Linked DNA regions of Daphnia pulex. The protein of the gene in region 1 purifies or fractionates together with the protein of each later gene. This does not show direct contact. Links are inferred from orthologs where the notes say so. Each region holds a gene or a part of one and is shown in the gene's direction. Other genes may lie near its edges. The genes, in order: E3 ubiquitin-protein ligase rnf146-like, poly [ADP-ribose] polymerase 1-like and DNA repair protein XRCC1-like.

Region 1 (6,385 bases):
GACGTCTCATCATAGCGCTGCTGCTGCAATGTCCAACCATCATCAGATGGCCAAAGAGAGAGAGAGACAGAAGAAGGAAGAACGAGAGCGTGAGCGTGAAAGAGAACGTGAAAGGGAGCGGGAACGAGAACTGGAACGGGAGCGGGAACGAGAGCGCGAAAGAGAAAGAGAACGTGAAAGAGAGAGGGAACGGGAGCGAGAAAAGGAAAGACAAAAGGAGAGAGAAAGGAGTGAAAGACAAGAGCGTGAAAAGAAAAGAGAGGAGGAAAAGGAACGAGAAAGGAGGAGACACGCCTCACGATCCCCTCTACATCCACATTCGCGGACGTCGGCCAACGGTGGATCTTCGAAATCGGATCAGTCCAACAAATCTAACGCCTCGCAGTCCATGTCCAGCAATCTTCCGCCGTTATCATTCCATCCGGGGATGCAAATGCCCGCCAACATGTTGGACAGATCCCGTATGGGGATGCACACGCCGTTACACGCGTACAGCCACGGTTCCTTCGATCCTTTCAGAGACGTCCTGCGTGGGATGGATCCGATGCGGGAGAGTATGGATCGCGAATCGTTTTTGAGAAACTACGGTGCGGCAGCCAATCATCTGGCATTAGGTGGACCGGGACTGCACGGATACGGGACACCTCCTTCTTCTTATGGATTGCCTGGACTTCCTCCCGACCGATACAGAGACGGGTTATCGTTGCCTCCTCACCTCGGCCACCCATCTATGGCTGGATCCTATTCCTTGGCAGGTCAACAAGGTGGACCGTATGGGCAGCAAAATGATCGCTTTGGATCCCTTCCAGGGATGAGTGGAGCCCCGACTCTCTATCCGCCCACTTCAACGTCGTATCCGTTTCCGCCTCTAGGCCCTGGTGGACTTTTAGGAGCCGGATTGGGAAGTGGCATGAGCTCCTTGTCAATGTTGCCTCAATCGCTGTTGACTTCTGGTGGTAAACGGACTCCACCGCCATCGGGACAACCACCGACATCACTCCCGGGTTCGTCGGCGCTGGCTTCGCTTGGGCGGACTCACATGGGTCTCATGCCGGCCGGCCTAGGGTTGTCACCATATCCAATGCCGTCACCATCTCCTCACATGATGAATCCGCATCACTTGCTCCCTCCGCACCACGGGTCTTCTATGGGAGGCGCCCGACCGCCCTCCAATAGTACGCCTCCATCCGGTGTGGGTCGTCCTTTAATGGATTTGACGTCGCCGCATCCTTCCTCCGGCTTAGCGCCCTTTAATCCGATGGATCCGTATCCTCGCAAAGACGACCCCCAATCGCGGTAGCAATAGCACAAGTGCAGTGTACTCGTACTAAAAGATAAAAAAAGACGATCATCATCATCGGTTTCCTCTTTCTTTCTTTCTCACACAAAAATTCAATGCGCTCTCCCCTGCGTCTTGCCATCGCTTCTCTTTTCTTTATAGTGTGAAGGAATTCCAGTGTTTGATTCGACGAACGAGTGGCGTAATGAACCTCATTTCTTTCGGTGCAAACGTTTTTTCCGCTCACTCTTCGTCACACATGCCAATCTTCCTGCCCTATTTCCTCTCATGCGCGTTAGATCTGACTACATGAAAAAATCGACTGGTGTAGACATGAATTTTTTGTAGACCCCTCTCTTCTCATTCTTTTCTTTCCTTTTTTACCATTCTGGAATTTCTGTTCGATTAAAAATGAAAACACGAAGAAGCATCTGTCTATTTTGTATTGAGATATTACGGCATATTAGTGGACCTTTGCTGTACATTTTCGTCCTCTGCCTTGAATGTATTTTCTTTTGTTTTTTTTTTCTCATGAGGTTCTATTTATTTCAGTTTTTCAGTTCTACCCTCTTCGATTTCTCTCTATGCGGCGCGCGTCTCTGTTGTGTCTCGTGTCTCGTAAACATTTCGATGTATTGTTGAATCTTTCCAATCCCCCTAACCCTCCCACGAATGATTTATGTGACGTGTCGAGCATTTTGTCTTTATATTATACAAACTATTAAAGCGATATTATGCTCGTATCTATTTATACATTTTTTTTTGGCACTCCGATGTGTGGGGGGAATGCTGGACGGCTTAACCAGTCTTTAATTTCGGATGCCTTTTCGATTACGCACCAAAAATTCTTTCGGAGAAATGGAGAGTTCTCATTTCGGAATACTTGGCAACGCCGAAGACTTATATTGCGCATTCCATCCTTTACTTCGACTGTTTAGTGTTTACAACAACACTACTCTGACTGACAAGATGGCTGCACAAGTTTACACGTCGTGGTCGTTTTAATTGGTGAACTTCTTACTCTTATAAAAACCGAGTGGTATAATATAAAAATAATTGTTAATTATAGAGTCTACTTTTGCCCACTTACTCCCGATATAAAACAAGGTAAAGCAATATTTCTAAACTCGGTTGGAAAGCATTTCTTGAATCCTTTTGTCTCATACTTTCTCTTTGCAGATTATAAATGTTAAATATTGGGCGAATATACGTGATTGTTACTAACAATATGTTTAACTAAACTTAGTAGTATTACTTAAACTCAAAGGGATTTACAATCTGTTTTAAGTCTTTTGATGTGCACTCTTTCATAGGGGTACTTGAAAGTTTAACCAGTTATTAAGAAAATTTATTATAATTAGATATATACTTACCCTAAGCTAAACATATATTTTAAAATAAATATTTATTCTTTCTTGGTAGATTATCATGTCTGAGTCGGGGACCACTTCTGGAGATCAATGCTCAAGGATGAATGTAAGAGGCTCAAGAGCGACCAGCCGAAATGCCTCATTACAGAGTAGCAGAGAAGATTTGTCAAATAATTCTGTCCTGTCCTCAGGACTGAAACAAACAGATTGCAGTGCAAGTAGCAAGGCAGAAGATTCTCCAGTTGACAAAGGAGAAAATAGCAGTACTGTGATAGAATGTGCTGTATGCCTCCAAACATGCATTCATCCAGTGAAGCTGCCTTGTTCACATATCTTCTGCTATCTTTGCGTGAAAGGCGTGGCTTTCCAGTCGAAAAGATGCGCCATGTGTCGACAAGAAATTCCCAGCGATTTCCTTATTCACCCACAATTACTTGACCGGACTCAGCTGGAAAAAGAATCCACTTTAGAAGATGGATACCAATGGTTTTATGAAGGGAGAAACGGTAATTAATCTTTTTCTCTATCAACATATTTTTGAGTGGTCCAGCTTTTAGACTGTGTAGATTTTGACATTTCATTCCTTACGGATCTTTAAGGCTGGTGGCAGTACGACGACCGCACCGCTGTTGATCTCGAGCAGAATTACAAACGTGGGGAAAGAACGTTTGAAATGGTCATTGCAGGAGCCAGTTATGTTATCGATTTTCAGCAACTTATTCAATTTCCTAAACATAGAGCGGGAAGAATACGCAAAATAAAAAGAAGTGCTGCATCTTTTCCCATACTCGGTGTTGCAGGAATTCGTTTGTGAAATCTTTCAAATAACAATAAAATTAAGAACAAACAAACAAAATAATAATGAAAATAATAAAGAAATGTGAATATACATGTAATTTCGTACTCGATCAAAATTCTCTTTATGTAAGCACAAAACGTTAACTAAATACAACATTTTGTATGGCTTTCAAACAAAACGAGCACATTTTGAATGCTTCATTTGTTTGTTTTTTTGTTTTCTTCGTTTTAGGTTGGTGGGCGTATGACGAACGAACCAGTTTCGAGATGGAATGTGCCTATAAGCGTTCTCAGCGTATTTGCGAGTTGCTGATTGCTGGATTTCTTTACACGATCGATTTCGATCAGATGTTTCAATCCAGGAAGACGGAGCCTTCGCGACGTCGACGCATTAAACGCGATCTTGCCTCAATACCAAAGAAAGGAGTTGCTGGGTTGCGGCTGGAACAGAGTGACGAAACTGAAAATGGTCAAGCTGCTTCTTTAGATCTTCTTTCAGTGGCTGCCAGCAGAGCAGCTCTCACTTCCAACTGTTTATCTCCTAGCCAAACACCCCAAGCTCCTTCCAACACTCCTCAAACACCTCAGACCCCTCAAACGCCGCGTAGTCCTCCGTCTCCAGCTCCGGAAACGATTTCTAATCAAGACTCTGTAGCTCAAACATTGCCCAGTGAATCTCGTTGGCAGGAGCGGGAAAGACGTCGTCTCCGACGAGCTGTTGAAGAAATCGAACGTCTAAGACTCCATGACGGAGATAGGTTCACTCCACCGCTCTCCAGATTAGATAACATGGTCATCTATTATAATATGGATGAAGAAACTAGCGTTATACACGACGATACTCACGACGACTTGTGGCCAAGTGAAGACAGCTCTTCTGATGACGAAGAAGGAGAGGTGATCATTAGTTAGTATCGTAAATCTGTCTTACTCTTTTCAGAATTACCTTGAAATTGTAATTGAATCAAGAAGATCTTTCTGCCTTATTCATTCTTGGGTCATGGCGACCGAGAAAATGTAATCCCCTCAACCTCCAACTCGTGTGTTGTATTTTAGATTGGATTTTGATTAGATTAGAGAGTGAAAACTCTTGATTCTCTATTTGATTTCCATTCGCAAATATATTGTAGAGTGGACTACATTTTTGAAATAAATTTTTTGCCTCATAACTTTAATAAGTCATGTTTTATATTAAGTTTATCCCTTCAGCCTTTTATAATGAATGGGATTTGTAGCGAGACGAAATTTCATTGTGATATTTTATCATTTGATAAAACCATCAGAGAAAAAATGTCCGCAGGCGCAGTCACGAAGTAAAAAGTAATAGCGTGTACTCAAGTCGGATCTTGGTCGGATACCTATCCAAAATATCTTCCCTTTTTTTTAAATGGTAAAATAGGTTCGAATGCCACGAACGGTCGAACGCGAATTTTTAATTTTTTAATTTCCTGTCGTTTTTTGTTGTAGAGATATTTGGCAACAAAGAACTTCTCTAAAGCATGGCTGAAGAGCAGACGATTTATGAAAACGTGTTCGTTTCAAGTTGTCAAAGTTTCAAGAATTAATTCTTGTGTTGACATTTACCGAGTTCGCTCTTTACATTCTTACTAAATCAAGAAATTGTTTTTATAGGTAGCTGTTATAATATTATAATCATGGGTAAAAAAGATAAATCTAAAAAAGGTAAAGGAGCTGAGAAAACGATTGCAAAAACTTTAAAGAAACAAACTACCAAGTTAAAAAAAGAATTAGCTGCTAAAGGAGAGGTATAATGTGCTCACAGCCCTTTGAATTAAATGTTTTGATGATATATTTTTTTATTTCTAGGAAGACTTGGAGCAAGTTATAAAAGAACTTGAAGAAGCAGATCGAAAGAAAAATGCTATTGTTGAAGATTTGCTCAAAGATGGGCCTAGTCGCAGAGCAAATTTTTCTTTAAATGCTCATTTTGAAAAAGATGAAATTGTCATGTTCGGAGGAGAATATTTCAATGGACAAAAGGTTGAAAATAAAATAATGATAGATTTTGTAATACTAACTGATTTCATCTTCATTCTTGTAGACCTATTGTTTTGGTGATCTAGTTCTTTACAACTTAAAGAAGAAAACATGGTTGAAGATACAAGCTCCAGGAGCTGCACCACCACGCTGTGCCCATCAGGCAGTTTTGACAGCAGGGGAAGGAGGGCAGTTGTGGATATTTGGAGGAGAATATGCTTCTCCTTCACAGTCCCAATTCTACCATTATAAAGACTTGTGGGTCTTTTATTTAAAAACCAAGAAATGGGAAAAAATAAAGTATTTAAATCATTCTTTCTTTCAACTTGGGTAATTTAAAAAAATAATTTTTTATGTTTAGCGCTACACTTGGTCCTTCATCAAGAAGTGGTCATCGGATGGTTTTATGTAAAAAAAATTTGGTTGTCTTTGGTGGTTATCACGACAACGGATTGGATTATAAATATTATAATGATGTTCATTTGTTCGATCTGGAGAGCAGAACATGGCGCAAGATTGAACCATCTGGTAATATCTTTAGTCTTTATTTCACGCATATGCTGTTTGTTGTATGCTTAAATATAATTGGCTTTTATCTCTGGAAGGTACGGCCCCGTCACCGAGATCTGGTTGCCAAATGGTCACCTTGCCCGATGGCCGCATTCTCATAACGGGGGGATACAGCAAAAATAAAGTGAAGAAAGATGTTGACAAGGGCATTATTCACAGTGATGCCTTCCTCCTGTTTCCTGATAGTATGTATTTTTGTGTTTTTTAATTTACCCTTTTCCTGAAATTTCTCTTCGTGTTACATAGAGCATGACACCAATGGAACAAAGTGGAAATGGCAGACAGTTAAGCTTACTGGAACTAAGCCTTCCCCTCGCACTGGAATGAGTGTGGTGGCGAACACCATAGGTAAATAAGAAAATAACATGGA
Region 2 (6,623 bases), on another chromosome or scaffold:
TTCTGAAGTGGCCTTTTCACCAACCAGTCCCTTTTCTTTTTGAAACTGTACATTTTTACACCTATTAGAATACAAATAAATCAATATAAAATGACAAACAATTATTTAAATAAATAGTGTGATATCTTACTTTAAATCTTCATCATCTTCATCAACCCAGACTGCTTGCCTTCCTGCTGTTGAACTTAAACCTAGATTTTTACCATAGACATCTTCTGGAAGGGAATCTTTCGCTTCACTAGATGCTTTGTTGGAGATTTGTTTTCTCAATTTTTTTTTTGAAGCAGAACTTTTGCTCGTATCTTTTTTAGACTGGGGTTCTTGTTCCAGTTTCTTAAACAATTCCCCAAATAGCAACTCTTCCAGTCTCTTTTCTTCTCTTTCCCTATAGTCAATGCCCAAGACTTGAGGTTTGGATTGTTTCAACTTCTTACTTTTTGGCTCCTCATGAAGATCTTCATTTTCATCAACATTTGGTAAATCATATCCATCCAGGGCTCCAAGATCCAACTGAAACTCTGTAGACTCAACTTTTAGTTGCTCGTCATTCTTTGCTGGTTTCGGTTTTGAACTTTTTTTCTTAAATGTGCGTCCCATCTTAAGTGTTATTTCTTCGTTTGTTGCACCTTAATAAACACGTGCTTGATGGCTTGGGTGCTTCTAAACTTGTAATTTTCAATTTGAACTAAATTCGTCTGCAACAGTCATTCCAAACTCCACATCCACTTTATCTGAAATAGGTAAATAGTGGGAGCAAATCCCAAGTTGGCTAGACTGGACAAGACTGGACTCGCCAGGGACTCGCAGGCTAATGAAGACTAATGAAGTAATTGGTTAGCGAATTAACCATAAAAATAATGAGGTAATATGATTTATTACTTTTGTATATTATCAAATAGACACCAACGAAAATTTCTTCTGAATCTTGATTTTATGACTTGTCCGGCTGCATTCTAGTTTCGCGCATGATTAGTAGGCCTACAGCAACCTACTAATGTATCCTACCAAGTTACATTCCCTCTGATATTTTTCAATGAAAAAAGAATCTTAAACTCTACGATATGAGACTTTAATTTTTTTATTTCCGTTGGTGAATGAAATATTTGAAATAAGAATAAGAATAAACGCGCAAACATCTACAGATCATAGAATTGGAATTTAGAAAAGTGATTAGTTAAGAATAGTGTGTCGATCATAAATATGTCGACGTTGTTCTTGAACAGTTTTCTTCCACTTATCAGTAGTTTGGCCAACACGGTTGAGCACACCTGCTCCACTTGCCCTTAAAGGTTGAGAATGGGTTTCACTTTCATCCTGTAGGATAAATTAGTTAAAAAGATGATTGAAGGAAGAAAAGGGAGAAATTTATAGAATACCTCTTCATTATTATGTTCTTGATATTGTGTAGTGGTTTTCTTGTTGAGAAGGGGATCAAGACAAACAAGAAACAGCATGTATATGACTAGTAGAGATATTATCCAGATAACAATAATTACAACAACCTGAAATTTAAAAAAATTTATATTAGAATAGTCTACAATACATTATGTCAACAGTTTTTTTGCCTTGATTGTTGTTGTGTTCCTGCTTTCGTACTTGCATTCACATCGTGGACAAAATTCTTTTTCCTTTCCTTTGATATCATCCCCTACCCTTGGGAGCACAACATTTGTACAATCACATTTGTTAGGTGGAACATTTTCAATGTAAAGTTTTCTATGTGACTGAGTTCCGTTTACTACGGCGGTATCTGGACAAATGCACTTGCATCTGACATCCTCATACTGTGCATTCACCTATTAGGACAAAAACAAACAAAACCAAAATCATTAAATTTCTAAGCAATGTTTTCTTAATAGTAAACATAAAAATCAATACATCACTGATGAATGAGAAGATGAAAAGGACGAAAAAAGAAAGAAAGAAACTCTTTCGAAGTGTCATAATTGCAGCAAAATCCGATACTGATTTGTCGGAAACAAAACAGCTGACAGACTGTCGACCACAGCTTGTGGCGCCAACTGGTTTGCTATTTAAAAAAAAAAAGAAACATTGTTTTTGTTCAAAGAGGAAATGGGTCGTTAAACATGTATTACAGCAATAAAAATTTAAACGTTACTGTGGAATTGAAATTTAATTACTTATTCTTTTTAGTTCTAAATAAACTTTTCTCCATTTTCGCCACTTAGGAGCCCCCATCTGACAACACTGTTTTGTTCCTAGCGCGCCATCTCGAAATTCTACTGTTACCTAAAAACGTGCCCAACTCTGTCGGCTGCGAAGTGCGAACTGCGAAGTTTGGAGGACGTTGTACTCGAAGTAGTGGAAAAGATTGTGTTAAAAGAATCAAGAATTCAAACTATCTGAGTGCACTGGAAATTGGAATATATAGGTATGGCCCATTTCAATCTCATTTAAAATTATGAACTGCTAATGCTAATTGTGTTTTTTTTTGTGATTTTTCCGAAATCCCAGAAATCGTGGGACGTTCATTTTCAGAAGAAAACGATGGCGGATGATTTACCTTTTCGAGCAGAATATGCAAAGACGGGTCGAGCTAGTTGCAAGAAATGCAAAGAAAACATTCCTCAAGGCACTCTACGACTTGCTGTAATCTTTCAGGTAACATTTTATTTTTTATTGTTTGGTTCTGGACTTTGTACACTAGTACAGTATTGTTGTTTTAGGCTGCCAAATTTGATGGGAAAATGGTTTCGTGGTACCACTTTGATTGCTTTTTTGAAAGGCAACGGCCCAAATCAGCTGGTGACATTGAACATTTTGATCAATTGCGCTGGGAAGATCAAGAGAAAATTAATCAGATGCTCAAAAGTAAAACATTACTAATATTGCTATACATTGTATTTAGTTGATTTCTAACTATTTCCTTTTTCCAAAGAAATCAGTGAAGGTGGGATTGCTGAACCAAGTAAAAAAGGAAAAGGCAAGGGGAAAACAGCTAAAGTTGCTGAACCCTTTTCTGATTTTCTAATTGAGTATGCAAAATCTGGGAGAGCTGCATGTCGAGGCTGCTTAGAAAAAATTGCAAAAGTATTATAATCATTAAGTGCAAGTTCTAAAACGATCCATGTTCAAACATGTCTATAATGTTCAAATTGTAGGATGAATTGAGGATATCAAAGAAAGGATACGACACCAAAGGAGGCATGAGACATGGACAAATGTTGGATATGTGGTACCACGTCAAATGTTTTAAAGAGCGACGAGAAGAATTAGAATTTGTTAGCGGAGTGGATACAATCCCTGGATTTAAAGATCTAACTGCCGACGACAAAAAAGTTCTCTCAAAAGAACTCCCTGCTCTTTCCGCTAAGTATTGACAAGAATCGAAATTTGGAAAATCATGTATTATAACGGTTTCTTTTTTCAGCAAACGAAAAGTTGACGGGGATGCTGTCGACGGACCTTCGGATGCAAAGAAGATAAAGAAAGAAGAAAAAGAAAATGAACAGCTCAAGGAAGAGATCAAGAAGCAAAATAAAATTCAGTTTAAATACAGAGACCAGTTGGAAACTCTGACAAAACAAGAACTCCAGATTCTGCTGGAATACAACGATCAGCAAATTCCTTCTGGAACATCTGAAGTACTTGCACTTTTTATTAATATTTTTATTTTCTTCTGAGTGTTAATCAATATGTCGCATAGTTAAACTATATGCAGCTATTTATCTTTTTAGATGTTGGACCTTCTTGCCGATGTAATGGCGTTTGGAGCTTTGCTTCCATGCAATGAATGCAAAAGTGGACAGTTTTTCTACAAGTGATTAAAATAATAGAAATTTCAAGTCGGTAAGCCTTACCTATATAGATTTACTTCTTCTTCTACAACAGGAGTGGCATGGGTTATCAATGCTCTGGAAACATGAGTGGCTGGACGAAGTGCCCCAACTCGACAACAACTCCCGAAAGGAAACCATTCAAAGTTCCATCGGACCTCTCGGAAAATTACTCATTTTTGTAATAAGGCTGTTGTTGCCATACATTAAGTTACTTTCTAAACTTCATTCTTCTATAGGAAAAAGTACAAATATGTTCCCGGACAGAGGGTAATCCCAGCGCTAACTCGCACTATTCGTATGAATCCAACCGAAGAAGTGAACGTGAAAAAAGAAAAGTAGCTATTTACTCAACTAGATAACGTGCTAGTTCTGTCTATTAATGTTTTCTTTTTCTTTTAGATCCGATTCGAAACGCCCACCCACACTAGAAGGCTTGAAATTCATTCTTGATTCCAAGCTTGAAAAGTCTAAAGAAAAAGTCGAAGCTGAAATAAAAAAATTACTAGGTTCTGTAGGTTCGCGCGTTACCGAAAAAATTGCAGCCGTAATTTCTACGAAAGGTTAGAAATTTGAGTGGGTAGTTTCTCTTATGAGATTAAGCCTTTATATGTGGTATTACTGTTTTACAGACAATTTAAAAGAAAAGGATTCAAAGTTGAAGAAAGCGTCTGAACTCGGTATTCATGTTGTAGACCTTAGCTTTTTGGATGCAATCAAAGCAAGCACTGGCGAATCTGCCTCATCCATTATAACGAAGAAAAACATCGCACCATGGGATTGCCACAGTGTAAATTTTTTTTCTTTTATTGCCCTAATTTTTGAGATTTTTTAAAAACTGTAATAAATCTAGATCGAGAAGCGTCTTGGTTTGGACGAGTCGGGTGCCACGAAATCTTCTGGAAAATCGAAAGGCTCAGGTTGGTTGGACTGTTTATTACTTTTAATGTTTCCCAGTAAAAACTGTAGTATAAGTATGGGGGAGTCATACGCTTTAAACTTGCAAGTAAATCAAGTTCAAGGTCACAACTCAATCCTAAATTAATTGAGTCGTCTGATGACTATGAAGGGATCCAAGTCTGCCCTCATAGACAGATACGCGACTAACATATTTGTTGATTTATTTCACGCTAAAAACGAAGCTGAATCTCGTAACTAAATTGTGTTTTCGTTTGCAGAAAAATCTGGTTCAGGCATGTCCGATAAACTGAAGCTGAAACTTAAAGGAGGAGGAGTAGTTGATCCCGATTCTGGTTTGGAAGATAAAGCACATGTCCTGAAGACGAAAAATGGTCTGTACAGCGTTGTACTTGGGATCGTTGACATTCAAGGTGGAAGAAATTCTTACTACAAGCTTCAAATTCTTGAACACGACAAAGGAAACAAGTAAATTGGCTTCGCTTCCCCCAGTGGCAATTGTAGATAACAACTATAATTTTTTTTTTTTTTTTTTTTTAATTCGACAGGTGGCATGTATTCCGTGCTTGGGGTCGAGTTGGTACAACGATTGGAGATACCAAGCTAACTAAGATGGATACCAAACAAGAAGCAATAGAGGATTTTGTTGCTCTGTACGAGGAGAAAACTGGTAACCTTTGGGAAAATCGAGATAATTTTGAGAAGCAGCCCGGAAAACTCTACCCTCTAGATATTGACTACGGAGAGGTATTTTCTATTTTTCTTGTGTCTTTTTGAAATTACGTAATGACATCAATTTTTTAAAATGTGATTTCCACACTTTCAGTCAGAAATAGATTCACGTATGACGATCGCCAATTCGACATCGAAGCTTCACCGATCTATTCAAGAATTGGTCTGCATGTTATTTGATGTCGAAGCTATGAAACGGACGATGGTAGAATTTGAATTAGATCTAACCAAGATGCCTCTTGGTAAACTGAGCAAGAAACAGCTAGAAAAGGCGTACGGGATTTTAAGTCAGGCTCAGGAAATGTTGGATTCGAAAGATGTATCGAAGACTAAATTCCTCGATATCTCGAATCAGTTCTACACACTCATTCCGCACGACTTTGGAAGAAAAACTCCGCCTGTTCTTAGCGATAACGAAATCATTAAGGTAATGGATTAACTCATTGTCCTTCCAGCATGATGTAGTATAATCTCGATTTGTTTTCTAGTCTAAACTGGAGATGCTTGAGAGCTTGATGGAAATCGAGGTGGCCTTCAGCTTGCTGAAAGCCGGCGATGCTGTTAAGGATAAGGATCCCATCGATGCCCACTATGAGAAGCTTAACACTGAAATTGAAGTAACAATATTTATCCCTTTCATGTTTTGTATTACGTATCATTGCTGATTTTTTAAATTATCTCTAGGTTTTGGACAAGTCTTCCGAAGAATTTAGTGTTATTCAAACGTATGCAAAGAATACTCACGCAGCAACTCATACTCAATATACTCTCGAAGTGGAAGAAGTAAGTAGAAGAGTTTAAGTAGTTTCACGCTAGGACTAGCAGTTAACTTTTTCGTTTTCTTTCCCAGGTATTCAAGGTGGTTCGGAAAGGAGAATCGAAAAGATTCCGTCCGTTCTCCAAATTACCCAATCGCAAGCTCTTGTGGCACGGATCTCGTGTTTCCAATATGGCTGGTATCCTATCTCAAGGGTTGCGTATTGCCCCACCTGAGGTAAAATTACATTTATTTGTTATATATTTGACTTTTTTCTTGATTAACCATTAATCCTTTCTTTATTTTGGGTGAATTTTGATAGGCTCCAGTCACTGGTAATTTCTTCTTGGCTACTCAACTATATCACGATGATTAAACTTGTTAATGCTTTTGTTGTTTTTAGGCTACATGTTTGGCAA
Region 3 (6,673 bases), on another chromosome or scaffold:
TCCTGCTTAATAATCACTGATTTTTTGCAGATCTTTTATGCGAAAAAACTGCGGGAAAATCATGACATTTTATTGATTTCCACATGATTTTATACAAGTATCTCATTACAAAATACCAATTGAAATTAATGATTAAAAACTGAGAATACATGATATATTACTGATTTATTTTAAGAAAATATCATGATATTTATGGTTATTTATCACCAGTTTCTTGCATATTTCTCATGCGAAAAGTCTGTGGTAAAATCATGAAATTTATATGATTTCTTTCTGATTTCTGGGTTATATCTCATATAAAATGAGACAAAAATATTTTAAACACTTTTAATGATAAATATGAGGGTGAAAATTCTCATCAATTTAATGAGAAATATATGAGATCATCAAAAATTATTAAAAAATCATTGATGTCATTAATAAACATATGATTTCTCATATAGTTTGATGAGATTTTTCCGTAAGGGATTCTCCAAAGCGTTAACTTTTCTATCTTGCTGCGTGAATTATGTATATGATGCGCCCATCAGCGCAGCACAACTTTATTCTAGAAAATGTTACATCACGGGCCGTGGACCGATTTGATATTAACACAACATTACATCCTGTGTTTTACCCCGAAAGTTTATTCGCGTTCGCTATAAGTGTTGCGCACCACGCGCATATTAAAACGAGTGTTATACAGCCACACATGAACCTGCTATGTGTTGCGTGAAATGGGACAATTAATTATAGCCTACACACGACAGTCTCTTTTTAATAGTAAAGAAGATTAGATAATTATGTATAGCACGACGTAAATAAAATGCCACGAACATATAATTATATAGAAATATAATATAAAGGGAATGAAATGATTTGTTGAGCACCGCGGCGCACATGCATGCTGTGCGGCCTCGAGCGATTTGAAAGTATATAAAATGGCACTTTTGCCAAACCTAAATAAAAAAAACCAAACTTTTCCAATCTAGTATACGAACATTCAGTTATATAGCTATATAGCCGTATTTACATATATATACATACGGTGCTTGTATAAGTTCATGTTATATCATGCCACTTTCTTATATAGATCTTTGCTGAGTGCAAGAAAGCGCCTCTGTGCTGCTGGGAAAGTTCAGATTCGTCTACCAATAAGTTTCGTTCGAGCAAAGCCTCGACGTATTTTCCCCCCTGCAGACGTATAATAAACAAGTATCTTGTATAGTGTGTCGTCTGATGATACTTTGAACGTATAGTACCAAAACAATACTTTTGAGACTGTATATTATCACCGACATAAAGGCGCGGTGCATTTCTGGTAAGAGAAGTATAGTTGACAGTGCTTGTAGCAGAAGCTCATTAAAGCGCCCTATTCATGGTCTATATATACTGTCTATATTCATGCTGGGACAAGGAAAACTCTAGACACACACAGAGTCTCAATGGGTTGGAAAAAGAGAGATGGGATATATATTATAGACGCGTGAGCATAATATCTAGAGATCTCTTCATCATTTTACTTTGTATGACAACGAAGCCCCACATAGAATATTAGATAGATTGCCGGGATATTTATCGACACCAAGCAACGATGAACAAAGTTTTAGACTATACACCATGCATATAGCCTATATAGACGGTAGGTGCTGCTGATTGTGTCTTTGTTGTATTTTGGGGGGGGGGAATCTTAGGAATAATACAAGAGGAAACAAAATAGAATGGAGAATGAAATAGAAAGAGACTATAAGAAATTGAAGTGGCTCGTACATAGGTATACAAAGCTGCCGGAAGCCTAATACATATATATTGTACATGAAATGTGTGTGTATATGCCTGCAGTGAGTGCAGTTTATATAATATAGCCTGTGTATTTATACATGTAGTCAGCAGGATCGAGGAGAGTTAAAAGAAAAGTTTTTTCGGAAGGGAAATCTAAAAAATACATTCCTTAATATTCTCTGTGCGCAACCTCGATTCTTTGGCTGTATAGCGAAATAAGACATATATAGGAGAAATTAAAAGCCTATACTATATATATAATGTAGCCATGTTCATCCTTGGAAAGAGCTGGGTTGCTTGCTGCTGCGTGGGCCTTGTAAATACAATATAAAGAAGGGAGGAAAAGAGCGTGGAGGTGTCAATACTACTAACGCCGGAAAATGTTCCAGTTGATACTGGGCGATGCTGTGGCTGTTTTATTTTTTTTGTTTTTTCTGGGGAATCACCTATTAATAAAGGCGAGACGTAATATGGTTTTCTTCTCCTCGGCTTTTCTTTCGGTATCCAAGGAGCGAGAAACGGTCGAATTAGAAAAAAAAACAAATTAAAAATATCACTTGCACAAAATGCTTTGCACTCTGGCTGTTGACGTTGTCCTTGTAATATAAACTTCGTTGTCGGAGTACCACGTTGATAAATTAATGCGCCAGCTAAGCCGTAATAGAAATTAAATGAGCTAAAATCGATGACATCCCTCCCCCTTCTCTCCAGCATCATGAATGGTTAAGAGAAAAGAAAATAATAAATTTAGTGGACATTAATCAATTTGGTAGTTTAAACATTGAACCGCCAGAACGTATATATTTCCAGTTGGAATTGAAATTGACTTAAACGTTTAATGTGTAGATTTTATTTGCAGACTTATTTTTATTCATTTCTGTTGTCGTAAAAGATTGATCTCTGCTGATGTCGATGAGTTATTGTCGGTTTATTTTCGACTTGTCATCAGGCATCAGTAATAATAAATAAAAGGATAACCTAAAATAGGCCATTATCCACTATAGGACGCTGTTAACCTTTTTAAAAAAGACCAGCGTAGAAAAAAAACCCAGCGATTTTTGTTTGGATTCTGAATCTGGTGTTGTGTTCAATGCATATTGAATACGCGCGCTGAATGCATTTTACAATGTCCGTTTGCAAGCCAACGCGCTCTGTTGGCGGGTTTTTTAAACAGGACCCAGGAGCAGCCGACTTTCCATATATAATAAAAATAAAATGTAGGGAAAATTGAATGATCACAACTTTTAAAATGGGGGAATAAATTATTATTCTAATAAAATCTGAATCGCTCAGGGTGCGACGACTCAGAATAAGAAATCTTCCAAATTATTCAGGCCGTCTTCTAGCCCCAAAGCCGCCAGAGAATAAAACGTATAGTGCAGCTGCAAACATTGGACAAATCAACTTCCGACGATACACGTGCCAAGTTAAAAAGTCGTTGAAATTTGTATTCCAGTTTTGATTTTCTTAACATTTGTTCAGCGTCGTTGTTTTGTCTATGGCGCCCATAAAATTTACTCGTGTTGTGAGTTTCAGTAGCGAAGATCCGGTATGTTAACAAAATTGTGATTTTCATTGTATAAAGTCGCAAGTGATAGTTGTTTTGACGTTTGGTTTATCGAACCAGGGTGATTTTCACAAATTACTCTTGACACTTCTACTGCTATTTTGGTGAACTTAGTATTCCATAGTTGTGACTGGCAGTATAGAAATCTATTTAATTTCAACGATGAAGACTTTCACTAGAAGAAGATAAAATAGTCACAACGATTCTTACAATTTGCACAACTCTGTGCACTATGGAAAATGATAAAGATTTTTTTTTTACAGAATCAGCCAACAGAAAACCTCATTAAAGATGGAGTGTACAGGAAATGGAGGTGCAAATCTGCTGGAGAGCAGAAAGCGTGGGTTGAATTTCAGTTAGAGAAAACATCCTTCATTTCAGCTGTTGACATAGGAAACCATGGTTCTGCATTCATTGAAATTTTAGTTGGTAGAAGTGGTTGTTCCGATGAAGACTACAAGGTAGACATTACACTTTAAAATAATTGTATTATTTAATGTAAAAGTTGTACACATGTATTAGGTTCTTTTGAATTCAGCCTCTTTTATGACACCTCAAGAGTGTCGAAACGAAACAAATCTCCAGCGTGTACGGATTTTCAAACACCAAGATTTGAACAAGGCCACCCAAGCTGAAAAATGGGATCGCGTTCGGGTTGTTTGCACTCAACCGTTCAACAAACAGCTTCAGTATGGAATTTCCTTCCTTACAGTTCATGCTCCAGAAGAAGAGTCAGCTAATAAAACCAACAATAAGTAAGCCACAAATATTGCCACATGTCATACCAATAATGTATCCTATTAAATGAATCTTAATCACCTTAGTGCTAGCGTGAAAGCAGCAAACAGCATAGATCTTGGCATGTTTAAACTTAGGTCCGAAGAATCAATTGTTGACCCCATCAAACAAGGCAGTTTGTTCTCTCGGTTCAAGTCGTCGATCAGCACCTCGCCCAGCACTCGTAATTATTGCTGTCTAATTTGTTTTCATACCATGATAATGATTTTTTTTATTTAAATAGAGCCTGGTGCAATCCGTGCTGCATCTCAAAGTCTTGCCTCTGCTGCCCTAGCACAGAGTGAGAAAGAGGCCTTGACCATTTTGAGACACTCCCCTAACAAGGACGGCAGCAGACCAGATATCAAATTGACAGATAAGCTTAAAACGTTGCAGACTCGAAGTCCCACAGTATCTAAAACACCTACTGCTGCCAAAGTCGATCAACATTCGCCATTACCTAGTCGCAAGCAAGTGGAATCTGATCGGCCGAGACCAGTTGCGCCGCCCATCACTCCACCAGCTAAAAAATCGTTGAGTAAAAAAATGCAAGAAAGCAAACCAAGACATTCCCCCCTTCATGAATCGAAGAGAGTTGAAGGACCAGTTAAAAGGAAAACACCACCACCTTCTCCATCAGTTGACGTATAAACATTTATAATTCAACCTTTCAAATTATGAGTCGTACTATCACATCTTTTGAATGCCGATCTATAGACGCAGCGCTTAGCGAAAAAGCAACGGACGACCAAACCTTTTAATCGCCTATTGGAAGGCGTCGTGGTGGTCCTTAGTGGTTTTCAAAATCCTTTACGGGGTCAACTGCGAGATAAACTGCTGGCCTTAGGTGCCACCTATAAACCGGAATGGAACGCGTCTTGTACGCATTTGATGTATATTTTACAAAACAAATTTTTGACGTAGAGTCATGCGCTTATTATTCTTTATTCATTTGATTATAGATGTGCCTTTTACAACACACCAAAGTTCATTGAAGTTAAGGGTAAAGGCAAAATAGTTACCAAAAATTGGGTTCAAGATTGTTTCGACAAACGAAAAAGATTACCATGGAGACGGTAAAAATCATTACCAATGTGGTTTATTTTTCTATCGCTTGGATTGTAATAATTTGTCTTTTTAAATAGTTATTGTTTAGATAAAAATGACAGAGGAGAAGAAAGCGAAGAAGAAATTTGGGAAGGAGAGGACCAGGGGCCGACATGTCCGACCCCTACACCCCAAACCAGTAAAGCAGCAACTGTAGTACCCCAATCGCCAACTGTAGCAGCCAGTTGTAAGCCTACCACTGTGGTGGCGAGTCCTAAAACTAGTGTCGTCAAGGACGAAGAAGAAGAAGACTACGGCGGGTCGACTGAAGTTGACGAAGTCGACACGGAAGATGAAATCGATATGTAGGCTCATCTCACACACTCTTTTCGAATTTATAATGGCTAACGCACATAATTGTTTGAAATAGGATCAAGAAGAAAATTAAAGAACAACAGCAGACTTTGGAAGATTCAAACATTTACGCTAATTTGAACTTTTATCTGGGCAAAGATTTGTCCGAAGAAGTGAAAGAGGACCTAACGCTCTATATAAAAGAATGTCAAGGGTACTACCATTAATTAAATTTCTTATGTTCCTTTTTGACAAATAACGTATTTTTCTCAAACAGTAAATTAGTGCCGAAAATTAAATCAAAGGTTTCTCACTTTATATCCGACGATCCTGACGATGATTCAGTCGCCAAGGTAAATGCAGTTTATTTATTCTGTTCATAAAAGATTACTAAAGTCGGGTCTTGGATTATTCATTATTTTTAAGGCGCTGTCGAAAAACCAAGACATGAAAATTGTCAAAAGTGATTGGATACGGACATGCAGAAAAAATAACAAATTAGTTGCTCTCGATGAATTCTTGGTGCAACAAACGAAATGAATAATAAAGGTATTTTAAAACAGAACGATGTCTTCGTTTATGCTAATGAGGAGTTAAACTATACGAGATCTTTGATTAACCAAAAATCGTCAATCACCAGACCGTTTTGATCATCGGACACTTGTTCCAAATGTAAATGAGTTTTGTTTGCGAGAAATAATCGGGAATAACCGTAGTCGTTGCTGCGAAAGGCCGACCAATAGGGTAATTCTGGAATAAAGTCATCCCGTTCTTCTCGACAACCCTGAAATTTTAATATTTTTGATAAATGCGGTGTGCAAAGTTAAATATTTTCCAGCATATCTCTCCTACCGCTGATCCAGTTGTCACGTGAACTGGAGCTTTAGGGTTAGTATAGGGATGCTCCAAGCTTCCATTCATTACCGTACGGTTGAATATGGGCCAAAGTCGTTCGTACGAGTGCTCGTGAGCCCACAAGGCCAGGTCAACTCCATACTTGTAGAGGAGCGGCTCCAAAGCGAACCTATAAAAACACTACATTATTTAGAATTATTATTTGACATGATAGCACGCATTCGATTACCAGTGAAACAAAGGGAGCCCGACCCGAGTAAGAGTATCTTTCTTTGTACAGTCGTCTTGATCTGTATTTGAGCAATACATTGG

What was found.
Region 2: the proteins of E3 ubiquitin-protein ligase rnf146-like (region 1) and poly [ADP-ribose] polymerase 1-like purify together in Homo sapiens (affinity purification with mass spectrometry; 4 studies listed by BioGRID and IntAct, counting the BioPlex papers as one, with this or other methods). This does not show direct contact. The link is inferred for Daphnia pulex from reciprocal best matches to the Homo sapiens genes RNF146 and PARP1.
Region 3: the proteins of E3 ubiquitin-protein ligase rnf146-like (region 1) and DNA repair protein XRCC1-like purify together in Homo sapiens (co-immunoprecipitation; 3 studies listed by BioGRID and IntAct, with this or other methods). This does not show direct contact. The link is inferred for Daphnia pulex from reciprocal best matches to the Homo sapiens genes RNF146 and XRCC1.

What each region holds. Positions count from the first base shown.
Region 1 is NC_060018.1:1,340,169-1,346,553, forward strand, and holds E3 ubiquitin-protein ligase rnf146-like, read left to right. Parts: upstream 1-2,193; 5' UTR 2,194-2,287; intron 2,288-2,348; 5' UTR 2,349-2,386; intron 2,387-2,701; 5' UTR 2,702-2,707; coding exon 2,708-3,155; intron 3,156-3,679; coding exon 3,680-4,359; 3' UTR 4,360-4,616; downstream 4,617-6,385. Other genes in the region: serine/arginine repetitive matrix protein 2-like, read left to right, coding at 1-1,300; kelch domain-containing protein 4-like, read left to right, coding at 5,103-5,213, 5,275-5,448, 5,510-5,745, 5,807-5,973, 6,051-6,200, 6,262-6,363. UniProt on the Homo sapiens protein: E3 ubiquitin-protein ligase that specifically binds poly-ADP-ribosylated (PARsylated) proteins and mediates their ubiquitination and subsequent degradation. May regulate many important biological processes, such as cell survival and DNA damage response.
Region 2 is NC_060024.1:8,492,027-8,498,649, forward strand, and holds the start of poly [ADP-ribose] polymerase 1-like, read left to right. Parts: upstream 1-2,234; 5' UTR 2,235-2,392; intron 2,393-2,475; 5' UTR 2,476-2,508; coding exon 2,509-2,622; intron 2,623-2,687; coding exon 2,688-2,832; intron 2,833-2,899; coding exon 2,900-3,051; intron 3,052-3,122; coding exon 3,123-3,334; intron 3,335-3,391; coding exon 3,392-3,605; intron 3,606-3,698; coding exon 3,699-3,781; intron 3,782-3,852; coding exon 3,853-3,978; intron 3,979-4,036; coding exon 4,037-4,135; intron 4,136-4,199; coding exon 4,200-4,360; intron 4,361-4,429; coding exon 4,430-4,587; intron 4,588-4,650; coding exon 4,651-4,717; intron 4,718-4,975; coding exon 4,976-5,183; intron 5,184-5,263; coding exon 5,264-5,462; intron 5,463-5,541; coding exon 5,542-5,874; intron 5,875-5,935; coding exon 5,936-6,064; intron 6,065-6,131; coding exon 6,132-6,230; intron 6,231-6,297; coding exon 6,298-6,441; intron 6,442-6,526; coding exon 6,527-6,539; intron 6,540-6,607; and 1 more. Other genes in the region: U3 small nucleolar RNA-associated protein 18 homolog, read right to left, coding at 1-61, 131-597; uncharacterized protein CG1161-like, read right to left, coding at 1,171-1,314, 1,377-1,502, 1,566-1,796, 1,879-1,944. UniProt on the Homo sapiens protein: Poly-ADP-ribosyltransferase that mediates poly-ADP-ribosylation of proteins and plays a key role in DNA repair.
Region 3 is NC_060028.1:2,113,241-2,119,913, forward strand, and holds DNA repair protein XRCC1-like, read left to right. Parts: upstream 1-3,139; 5' UTR 3,140-3,259; coding exon 3,260-3,310; intron 3,311-3,591; coding exon 3,592-3,789; intron 3,790-3,850; coding exon 3,851-4,083; intron 4,084-4,152; coding exon 4,153-4,289; intron 4,290-4,349; coding exon 4,350-4,750; intron 4,751-4,822; coding exon 4,823-4,998; intron 4,999-5,067; coding exon 5,068-5,181; intron 5,182-5,250; coding exon 5,251-5,517; intron 5,518-5,582; coding exon 5,583-5,720; intron 5,721-5,783; coding exon 5,784-5,859; exon of another isoform or gene 5,860-5,932; coding exon 5,933-6,046; 3' UTR 6,047-6,071; downstream 6,072-6,673. Other genes in the region: acid phosphatase type 7-like, read right to left, coding at 6,105-6,290, 6,359-6,530, 6,591-6,673. UniProt on the Homo sapiens protein: Scaffold protein involved in DNA single-strand break repair by mediating the assembly of DNA break repair protein complexes. Negatively regulates ADP-ribosyltransferase activity of PARP1 during base-excision repair in order to prevent excessive PARP1 activity.